2 linked regions of the Drosophila melanogaster genome follow. The protein of the gene in region 1 interacts with the protein of each later gene in a pairwise test. Each region holds a gene or a part of one and is shown in the gene's direction. Other genes may lie near its edges.

The links. The genes of interacting proteins can lie anywhere in the genome.
Region 2: the proteins of CG34367 (region 1) and NC2alpha interact in a two-hybrid assay, tested with the Drosophila melanogaster proteins (one large-scale study listed by BioGRID).

Annotation. Positions count from the first base shown.
Region 1 is NT_033779.5:10,347,831-10,355,656, reverse strand, and holds CG34367 (uncharacterized protein), read left to right. Parts: upstream 1-1,751; 5' UTR 1,752-2,025; coding exon 2,026-2,425; intron 2,426-3,565; exon of another isoform or gene 3,566-3,600; coding exon of another isoform or gene 3,601-3,631; coding exon 3,632-3,942; intron 3,943-4,879; coding exon 4,880-4,937; intron 4,938-6,683; coding exon 6,684-6,997; intron 6,998-7,460; coding exon 7,461-7,640; 3' UTR 7,641-7,806; downstream 7,807-7,826. Other genes in the region: CtsL4 (cathepsin L4), read left to right, coding at 1-175, 431-591, 652-847.
Region 2 is NT_033778.4:21,668,172-21,672,093, forward strand, and holds NC2alpha (negative cofactor 2alpha), read left to right. Parts: upstream 1-1,980; 5' UTR 1,981-2,075; coding exon 2,076-2,117; intron 2,118-2,324; coding exon 2,325-3,308; 3' UTR 3,309-3,422; downstream 3,423-3,922. Other genes in the region: PIG-M (phosphatidylinositol glycan anchor biosynthesis class M), read right to left, coding at 1-817; CG42380 (uncharacterized protein), read right to left, coding at 840-1,037; CG42379 (uncharacterized protein), read right to left, coding at 1,046-1,300; CG42381 (uncharacterized protein), read right to left, coding at 1,300-1,309, 1,366-1,522, 1,584-1,647; CG15676 (uncharacterized protein), read left to right, coding at 3,558-3,922.

The DNA of each region.
Region 1 (7,826 bases):
TCAGGTATTCAAGCGAACCGGGAAAATATTGAGCCTGAGTAAGCAACAAATCGTGGACTGCAGTGTGTCCCATGGAAACCAAGGATGCGTCGGCGGCTCCCTGCGAAATACTTTGAGTTATTTGCAGAGCACGGGCGGCATAATGAGGGACCAAGATTATCCGTATGTGGCAAGGGTAAATACCAAACAATTAGGAAGATAGTTAGTTGCTTTTATTTAGATATATACGCTTATTTATAAGCTTTATAAAAATCAAGGTGTTAGAATGACTACAGCTTGAGCTATTCATTTAATTGGTAAGTTAAGGAACGAATCTTTTGTTTTTTAAACATTATCAAATTATTTTTGGTGATATTGAATATTAGAATAGTAGAATATTTAGTTATTACAGGCAATACAACTAATGCTAACTAATGCATATGTTTTTCAGAAAGGCAAATGCCAGTTCGTACCCGATTTATCCGTAGTTAATGTGACATCCTGGGCCATTCTTCCCGTGCGCGATGAGCAGGCCATTCAGGCGGCAGTTACCCACATTGGACCAGTTGCAATTTCTATAAATGCCTCCCCAAAGACATTTCAACTGTACAGGTAATGACCGTAAATACTTACATATATATTTTTGTTTTTAAATTTAGCCTTTTGTCTCAGTGACGGCATCTACGATGACCCCTTGTGCTCATCGGCTTCCGTAAATCATGCCATGGTGGTAATTGGTTTTGGAAAGGATTATTGGATACTAAAGAATTGGTGGGGCCAAAATTGGGGCGAAAATGGTTACATACGAATTCGCAAGGGAGTCAATATGTGCGGAATTGCCAATTATGCCGCTTATGCAATTGTTTAAACTAAATCTCTTATAACAAAATATCTATAAACTGATGAGAAAATAAATGATTTTTTAATAATAACTTATGAATTTGAAATTCTAGATGTCTCTAACTCAATGGGTTTGATATGTTGATAAATTAATGAGTTTACACTGTGCAACACAGTTCAGTTTGACAAATGAAGATGGCACATGTTCGTTCTGTAAAAACTAGGACATTAGCTGAGTATATTCGTCCTTCGATTGGATACTTGTGCAATAAACTCAGCAATGAGTTATGCCACCTTTGTAGCCCAGTGTCATTAGCACAAAGTTGAAGTAATGAATATGGGGGGCGTGGCAAAGCGCCAACTCAGATCCTTGTTTTATGGCACTGAGCCCGCCCACAAATCGATAAAACAGCTCCCCAAACGACGGCGACGACTTTGTGAAATAAAAATAATGCCCTTTTCCTGTGGATTTGCGTGGCAAGCACAGCGATTTAAATGGTATTTATAAAGTGCCAAAAAGCTGAGCGCTGGAAATCCTTCGACCAGGATGTGAAACTTTCGCGCAAAACTCCTCCCACAATGGCATCATTTATTGCAATTATAATGTGTTTCATTGCCGCTTAATGGATAAATAGTGCTCCATAATGGCTATAACCAATAATAGGAAAGTAAGCTGGAATCGCTGAGCGTGCAACCACTTTGCCTGCTCCGTAGACCAATGAGAGCAATTGAAAGGACCTCCGTAGGCAGGACTTCACTTAACTTTACACTGCCCCGCCGACTTGGGGTGGATTTTTTAAGGACTCACGCGAGAGAGAGAGAGCGATTTCGCTGGATTTTTGAAGGGTAGGAGAGTGAAGTGCTGTTGCAGGACCAAAGAAATTGCTAATTGAATAGAGTCAAGATGTTGAACTAGTCATATTTGTCCATTAAAACGGGCAGTCATCCGTTTATGTCTGGCCAAAATCGAAGCGATAATATTTTCTATTCCGTCGCGCTCTCGAACGAACAATTTAAGCGGTTGAATCGAATGTGGATAATCCGAAGGACATGCGCAGCAATAAAGAGCCAACTGAGGTGATTAGGCACGCCGAATGCCATTGGTGTTGACTATAAAATAGTCGGCAGCTTAGTTTCGTTACAGCAACTTATGCTCGAACGCATAAAAAAGCAACGGCATTTATTTGTTTACCCAAGCCAAGGATAATGGAGCAGTTGGCCCAGTTTGTCACCAAGTCCTTTGAGTTCAATCTAACTAACAACAGTGTACACGCCTTATTCAATTCGATGACGGGCGCGCGTTTAAAAAAGCCCACGGAAGTGAAAAATTCCATATTCATAAACTCGATCAGTTCCGGCGGCAGTTATGCCGATACTTGCGCGAGTGGCGAGGAGTCCGTGGACATAGACATTACCGACCTATCCGTATCCGAGAGCAATACGATCCTCGCTATCGATCCGGAGCCAACGGAAGAATCTCATTCGCAGCGCGAGGAGCATGTGGAAACCTACAGCCTTAGTCCCACTCTCCACAAGGCGGCGGTGGAGCCGAAGCCCAAGAACTGGCTAATTTCGGAGGATTTGGACGTGGACTCCCAGCCGGAAGGTAACTTCACTAACTGGATATGATGGGTAGTGCTGGTAGATATCGCTTAAAACATTCCGCAAGCTGATATCTTAAGATAATCCGCAATCTGATATCCTATATAATCCGTCGGTGATTGAACAATTTGCATGGTCCAAAGCAAATTTATTTCTTTTGTTTTTAACAAGAATAGAATAATATTTTTACCTGCATTTAATATTTTCTTACCATTATGTTACTTAGTTACTAATTTATTTGGCAAATTTTGGGATTACGATATCTTTAATTATATATTTGTGGCTTAAACAACTATATATAACATGTTTTAAATTGCAACATGGATTTAAAACCGACCGGATATCACTCAATAATAGAAAAAACTGAAAAGTTGTTGCATAATTAGGATGTTTGTTAAGAATTATGACATTTATAGCATGACTTTTTTATTACACATGGATCGAATACAAAAACGCGAATAAGTAAGGATATCACTTTTATACGGACAGATAAACGGACAAACAAACGGACATGGCTTGATCGACTCAGCTAGTGAATCCTAGTGAAAGATACTTTGTACGGTATAGGTTAAAGTCAAAGTGTTAAACAAGATAATTGCCTAATAAACCTTTTACCTATAACTTTATTACCGTCACATATCAATATCTAAAAGCAATTCGTAATCCATTGCGTTGATTCATCTAACCATTAATGTCCATATAAAGTATGTAGTTTATTCGATATCCGTAAATATTTGAGTTAATAAGCCAGTAGTTGTAGCATGTACATATATTCATCAAAAAGTGCCCATTAACTTTGTGTACAAGTTTCAAATAAAAATGATCTTATTCATAGTGTCTATATAATCCGTCGGATAATGAACTTGTATTTTCGGTGCATAACAAATCAATAATCACACATTTTAATTAAATAAAGACTAATGCCTTTTTTTTGCCGTTTTTATAACCAGTATAAATAGAGAAAGAAATCTTAAAGTTAAGAATAATACATTATAATAATATAATTATTACAAACAAAATCTACTGACTTAAAAATTTTTTAAGAGACATCATGATAAATTTGTTTGAATTTCTTTTTAATTTTAAAAGTGTAAAAAAAGTGACCCAAGCATTCAAAATAAAAGGATAAACTTGTGTTTTATATTCTAGATCGATTGACATTAAGTATGCCATACGCATATGAATATAGAAAAAACTATAACCTTTTCAGATCCGAAAATGTCTGGATTGCCCACTGCCAGCATAACCGAGTGCACGGAGGACAGTAATACGCCAAAGCTGGCGCCGGATAAGCCATTATTGCCGGAAGAATGCGTCTCTCCGGAGCCCAGTCGCAACCGGGAGCACTGCGATCCGCTGGACACGTCGCTGGTGAACACCAAGCAGCGGAGATCGCGGACGAACTTCACCCTGGACCAGCTGAACGAGCTGGAGCGACTGTTCGAGGAGACCCACTATCCAGATGCCTTCATGCGCGAGGAACTGAGTCAGCGACTGGGCCTCAGCGAAGCTAGAGTGCAGGTAATTATGTTCACGCATCAACTCCATAAATTATACCCCGATTGCAACATGACATTGGAAATGTCCGAGGACGCCCCTTTGGACACCACGAGGTCCAAATTGTTTTTCAATGGTTATTCATTACACTTGTACTAATGACAACCAGACATTGTCTCCCCGAAATATTTCGACCGAATGTGGAAGCAGTGACTTTGATTTTTCAACCACCGGCATGGTGAAAATAATGAAGGAAACTACATTGGAAAGTCGAAGTTTATATACCCTACAGCTTAAAGGAAAACTAGAAAATAGGTTTTTCAATTATTATCAACCAGCATACATAGATACTATATTCGATGATAATAATAACTACCTTTTGTAAGGATGATGTGCAGATACAGATATGCAGACGAATGGACAGACAGATATACGGACATTCTGACTTACGGACATATAGACAAAGTGACACAACTCGATGCTGATCCAAAATATATATATGTATATGCTGACAAAGTACATATACACTCTGTAAGGGCATAGATGGCATAGATATGGGGTGTTAAGTGGTTTACGCCACCCTTTGTCGTCTGGGACACAAGTAGAAAATTGCTCGAGCATCGGGGGGCCGGTTAGAGATTAAATGCTCAATCAGGGTGCTGGAATAGGCACTATGTGGTCATGAAATATGTAGTTACAATTCCAAAGCCAGCAGGAGTGTCACTTTTTTTATGGTCCGTAATAAATTGCTTAGCTCTTCGCAACTTTTAGCCCGCTAAAATATCTAAGAAGTACGCATCTGCCGAGATTAACGGGAAATAAACAGTGATAATTCAGTGTATACTGAAGCAACTAATGACCAAATCGGATATTATAATGCCTTAATTTCCTTAATTTATATTAATGAAACAAACAAGTGATGTGATGGTAACTTTCATTTATCAATTATGTGTTCTTGCAGGTTTGGTTTCAAAATAGAAGGGCGAAATGTAGAAAGCACGAAAACCAAATGCACAAAGGTGAGCAAATAACTAAGGCTCCTTCTAAGTTAACTTTAAAACATTAATGTAATTAAAAACTAGCATAAATTGGTGCCCCTTTTTTTTAAGCACCCCTCTCACCTTCGCCAAGTTTGCGCCAATTAAGCTTAATGAAAGTGTAAATTGCAATTAGTTAAGTACACAAAAATCAGGCTAGAACATTTACATTTCGGAATGCTGCTGTTCATTTTCTGGCTTATCAACTTGCTGGGGCCAATATGTTACGGTTTTCACAGTTGTTTAAATGTCTCTTCATTAATTCATTTGGCTTTCCGTTTCCGTTCAACCCTCGTTTCCAAGGACTTAACCCCCCCATCCATCCATCAACTTCCCCGCCCTACGCCACTCGATAGAATTTGTATCCTTCGTTTTATTGCCCGAATATTTAATTTGATGAAGTTAGCAATGATTTGTGCTTTGCTGTCGCTAAAAAAAAAAAGAGAAGCGTTCTTATTTTATGTATATATTGCCGAAGGGATTTCGCTGGCTAAAATCTGAGCAGATGCGTTTGTGAGTCCTGATTATAATTCGAAGGGCAAACAAACTGAACTGAAAACCCGGAGGTGTTGAGGTGCGCGAAAAAATTTATTTTCGAGTTTAGAAGAATGCAAATCAATACATTTACGCATTTATGACTTCCTGAGTGTGTGTGCTTTTTCACATAAATATAAATCGCATTCGGGTAGCTCAGCCTAATTGGATTAAAAAAGATATAATCGCATTTATCAAATTTGCCGCCTAATGCGGCCGTATTTCAATACTGGACCTTCGGGCATAAAAAACTTTTCGGAAATGTAATCAAATTGAAATTTTGGCATAAAAAGCACGGCAGACACGGCGAATGGAATGGCCAGCACTTTATGGGTCCATATCAATTCTCAGGCTCTTTGCCACGGTGAACCACCCATAAACAAGACGTTAACCTGGCCTCCAGTTCCCAGGAGACCCATTTGTATGTGCCGCTCCACTCCAGAAATTTCACCCGCCAGCGGTAACACGTCCCTGTGGTTCCGGCCATCCGGCTTTCCGACTTTCCGGGGCGTTTTCCGAGCAATAAATTACAAAATGAATTCAATTACTTGTCACTGAATCTTAAAACGATTTGCCAATCTAGCAGGTACGGTACATATCCATCTAAGCAGAGTGATTGCCGGCAGTGAATCCTTCGGATAATCCTTAAAATATTGCTTATTTCTTTGGTGCATCTTAAAAATTTAAATCACTTTTTTATACACTGAAAACTTAATGCAAATAAGTTTGTACTTATTACCTGTTTTTACTCTATAACCTTACACAAAAAGTTTTGCAGTTCTTAACCTTTTTGTTTAAGTACATTATTAATAATTATATATTATTACTAATATATAAACTGTATTCGTCTTTTCAGTTACAAGCAGAATTTTGTCTTACCTGCATGTTTCATTTTTAGCGAATGTTTTTAAATGTTCGTATTTTAATGGTCAATGAAAGTTAAAGAGCTTAACAACTTAATCGCACTAAAGATCTTAAATTATAACAATTTAAGCCACATTACATAATTGATCCAAAATTTGAACAGATTATACAAACTGTAAACTTAAAAAACCTTTCCCTAACTAACCTTTTTCAACCTTAAACCTTAAACCTTACTTTCTTACAATGAAAGTCAAACTTAAATCTACACTTTAGTTCCACAAGCCCCATCCAAGTGCAACACGTCTCATGTAATCCACTTATATCTTAAAGGATTCCTCGTGGGCAGCCGGAGTCCGCCGATTGCCACTCCGCTGGAACCATGTCGTGTGGCTCCCTACGTCAGCCTGGCCGCCCTTCGCAGCTCATCCGTTCCATCCCATCCTGCCGCAGCGACCAGCTCGAATCCCCAGGCACCCGGTGTCTCCGGAACCAGCAGTTCCGGCAAGGTGGTCACCGTGGACTCACCACATAATCACAATCCGGCGATATCGCGCTCGGCTATCAAACAGTTTTCCAGCACCGTGGCAGCAGCCGCCGCCTTTTCCGCTTTCGATCCGGCCATTATTTCGGTGGCAGCTCATCAGGTAAAATTCCAAATGGTAGTATTGCATCTATGATCCTGGCAGATTCAGCGATGCCAATCCTGAACTTAAAATATTGTAATCGATTGAGGCAGGCGCTGGTTAAACATACAATTTTATAATCTCGACAAAATTTTAAAGATTTTATTTATTTAAACCATCGAAAAGTTATTCATTAGTGCAAAGCTTAAAAGCTTAATTACTTATAATAATGCGTATCGTTTTTATGATAACTAACTTATACGACAAAGTTTGGAAAAAAGCCGTTTTTCATTTGAAATATTTCACATTGAAGTTTGTATGTACTAAGAGCATAAAAATATGAGATTCTGAAGAATCCTTGCCAAGAAAATTCTTCTAAATATTGAATATAATCTTTATTTCTAATGGTCCCAATACGAGTTAAGCAAAATAGATACAATTTAATGTATATGTATCTATATATCTATTCTTTTGCTGATTTCAGTACGCAGCTGCTATAACTAATGGAACCGTGCCGGCTGGATTGTTTTCTGTGCCCCAGTACTCCATAAATCTGGCCGCCTTCGCCGCCGCCCACAGCAAGAGCTCTTCGATAGCCGATCTCCGGATGAAGGCCAAGAAGCACTCGGAATCGTTGGGTCTGCAGGCGGACATGGTGCTCTAGTGACCACCTGGTAGTAGAACGTAGACATGTACATTCAATCGATGGTGCGGTGGAATTGCGTCTAGCACCAAAGTAATAAAAAGGATAGCCACATTTATTTATTTAATTAAAGTCTTACTTAATAAATCTAATGAATAAGAATGACTTAAAACCAATATCGACAAATAAAAGAACTGTTTTTGAACG
Region 2 (3,922 bases), on another chromosome or scaffold:
GGCTGATCAATGTTCCACTTATCAGGCACAGTTGTTGCTTGTTGGGCCGCAGGATTTGGCACAGGAAGTCGAGGGGAGTTTGTGTCAGCCGCGTTGATAGCGATAAATAGTATGCCAAACTGAATAGCAACGGATACAGACGGAGGTGTATCACTAGACCGTGAGCCAAGCCCGCTCCGAATATAAGCCAGTAACTCCTGGTGACATTGTGCTCAGATTTTAACAGCAGGTATATAGTTAGTATCACGAAGAAGCTTGAGAAGCAATCGCCGCTTCCACGTGTGGATATTACAGCCGTCAGCGGGTTGTATAACCAAAAGCAAGCAGAGGCGCGGGCCAAGTTCTCTGGATGACTTCGCTCATCCAGGGCATCCAGCGATTGGTCCGAGTCCCGTGGCCTGTTGAACTTGCTAAGCAGGTGTTGTACGGTCTTCTGGTACTGACTCTTGATTTCCATGTGCACCAGACGGTAAATAAGTGTGGCGATGAGAAGATCGAATGTCGCATACAGTAGTTTACCCCACGCCGGATGAAGCAGGATGTTAAAAGTCTGCAGATATGCCATGATTGGGCTATATCGGTAAGTATGCCTGGCGAAGGGTGTGTCCCCAGCCAGAACTTGACGGGCTCCATCAGTCACCACCTTGTAGTCTATATCGGTGTAGGGCACGGCGGACTGACTGTCGTGTAATTGTCCGTAGCAAATTAAAGCTATTCGCAGCAGGGCGGATATTAGTAGATGGGTCCGAAAGCTAGTGTAAAGGATGCGGCGACCCAGTCGCTGCCATCCAGTGGTCGCAGCCTTTGTTTGAGTCATCGTGTTTATTGTTTACGTTTGTCTAAAGCTTGGTCTTCATTTCCAAAGCGGTCTTGCGGATACAGCTTAGGAACTCCTTGAACTCGGTGTCGCAGATTTTGTGCTGCACGTTTAGATCACGCGACACGCAAACCGCATACGCAGTGGCTTTGTCCGCGCACTTGCTTAGCAGAACTGGATAGTTGCGGATTCTTTGGTTGGCTTTGCGCACCGATTCCATGCCTTAGCTTAGCGCTTGTGAGGCGGAACTTTGTTCTCCGGCGGTGGTAGGGGATCGGCGATAAAGCAGTCAAACAGGGGCTTGGAGAAGAAGATCAGAAGTGAGCCTGTGATGAAGGAGATCTGGAACAGGCGTGGATTTCGCTGAATCCACGTGCGTTTGGGTAGCACAGCGGTTCGCCTGCGCTGATTTGCTTGCTGTTGCTCCTTTTGGTCCAGCAAGTCTTGAATTTCCTTCGGAGGCCTATACTGCGGTATGGACATTATTTGTTCCTGCAAAACGAGTTGATAATAGTGTATATGGAATAGAGAAGTTGGCTACAACTCACGACTTGCCGGTTGCGTTCTTTTCCTTGGATGCGTCTGGTAGATAAGTCTTCTCCAAATCGATTCCACTGCAGCAAAGCGATTCCTTGTGCCACTTTAAACAGCACTGGCGCATTGCCTCAAGGACATCCAAGCACTTGTCCTCCTGGTAGTGATTCTCTGTAACCGAGTGCAAGTCAGCTTACATAACCATGAAAATGGAGTCACCGGCGGTGCTTACTGGTCAGACAGGCTTGTATGCGGCAGGCGTTCGGTTTGCAGGGATCCTTGCGAGTGTCAGACATGTAATCCTGCCCAGAATTCTTACGATATTAAATCGCTCTTGCAATATGTGAAAAGTACTTGGAAGTGTTCTGCACTCTTCTTCTTCTTGGCGGTTGTAGTCATTCACAGTGCACGATCAAGGTAGCCAGACTGCGCGACGGTCAGCTGTGTAGGAAACCTAATACATCAAAGCAAAATAAAAAACAATCACATAAATAACAACAAAAAGAAATAACATCTCTTATAATGTACAAAAATTTTTAATCTTTCAAATTTTGATATTAATACCTTTTGCTTCCCTGTGAATACCCCGCCTGCTGCGAGAGCAACTGCCATTCACCCATCGACGCCGACAGTTGGGCACCAAGGAACTGTTCTTGTGTGAAAAACACACACACATTTGTTTTATTTCACTAGGACTCTTGACGATTACTTCACAAATCGGAAAATGCCATCGAAAAAGAAAAAATACAACGCACGCTTTCCGGCGGTAAGTTGAAACCACCGATTGGCGACAGGAAAGCTCCAGCCATTTGGCGGCCGTGAACGCCGAAGATGGGTTATCAGTTTTCGTGCATGTGTACATACATATGTACATACACGCCTCGCATAATCAGAGGCTCAAAAGAAGTAGAGGAGAAACCAAACCGGTGCGAGATTATAATGTTTCCAAACCATTACCATAAACTCCTTGCAGGGTCGCATCAAGAAGATCATGCAAAGCGACGAGGAAATCGGGAAGGTGGCCCAGGCGGTGCCTGTTATCATCTCACGCACGCTGGAGCTCTTCGTGGAGTCGCTGCTGACCAAGACGCTGCGCATCACGAATGCGCGCAACGCCAAGACGCTATCGCCATCGCACATGAGGCAGTGTATCGTATCCGAGAAACGCTTTGACTTCCTCAAGGAGCTGGTCCGCAACATACCCGACATCAGTGTGGCCGAGGAGGCCGCCTACAACGAGGACGATGTGTTACGCAGCTCGCCAGAGGAACAGTATCCAGATTCAGACACGCCATATGATCTTAGCCTGCCATCGACGTCAATGCGCTCGCAGGCGAACGGCACAGCTGCCTACATGCGCTCCATGAGTCTGAACAACGGAGCCGGATCGGGCGGAGGAGCCGCAGCCACCAAGCGGCAGTTTCAGTCGCAGCACTCCACCCAGGAAACTCCCACCACCAGCACCACCCTGCCCGCCAAGCTGGCCCGCTCCGGGTCCATGCCGGCCTACACGCCACGGGGCAGACCGCCCAATCACCTCAAGAAACAGTCGGTGCAGCTCGATACTGCCATACCCGCCCCGATCTGCAACTACGAACTCAACAAGCCCATTGTCAAGATCGACTACAGCCACGTGCAAATGCCGACGGCGAACCTGTGCACACCGGACGCCTCTGATTCTGGGTCAGGATCGGGCGCCGGATCTGGAGCTTTTAACTTCGACATAGCTGCTCCGGTGATCAATATCGATCTGACGAATATCGTGGCCGGTGGAGCACCTGGCAGTGGTGTGCCCCCCGCCTCTATTGGATTACCAGCGGCCACGCCGGGGGACAACAATAATGTGAACCAAATGGCTGGAAAGAGCAGCGCTCCCATCATTCCAAAGGCCACAGCGGCATCAGCGACCCCCACTGAAACCGTTTTCGAATTAGACGAAGACTATGACAATATTTGATTAGGATCTATGTGAATGCGCTTTTAAATTATTGATACATTAATATGTACTCTAGGTCTAAGAAATCACAATAACATTTTTTGCAAAATAAAGACCATGCTGGATTTTAAGCTGACGCAATGCGGAGTACTTTAAATAGAGAAAGAAAATTTATACATTCTAGCAGATAATGCTGTTTAATTTGCATACGATATTAAATCAGTTTATCTTTGAATTAGATGTACTAAACAAGTTCAACAATTATTGAAAATGTTTGCATTCATAGACACCATAAAAAAGCCGCCTCTGGGCGGCCGAAAGTCATTTATGCCCATCCCAGAGGCCAAGTTAGTTGACGATGTCGTCAGCTACATCGCCAAGCCAGAGTTCTATTCGACTGTTCCAGCGGCATTGAAGATGCAACGCCTTTTCTATGTGCAATACAGCGAACTGGCTGCCAAGTTGGAGACTGACCTCACAGCAGTGTTAACCCGTTTGGAGGCTGCCAAAAATAATTTGGAATTGGTGAGGAGGTTCATAGACAATCCTGACAAGGAAGTTCACAGCCTCGTGCAAATCGCACAGGGAGTATTCAGATGGGTGAGCATACCGCCAGTGCAAAAGGTTACCCTTCA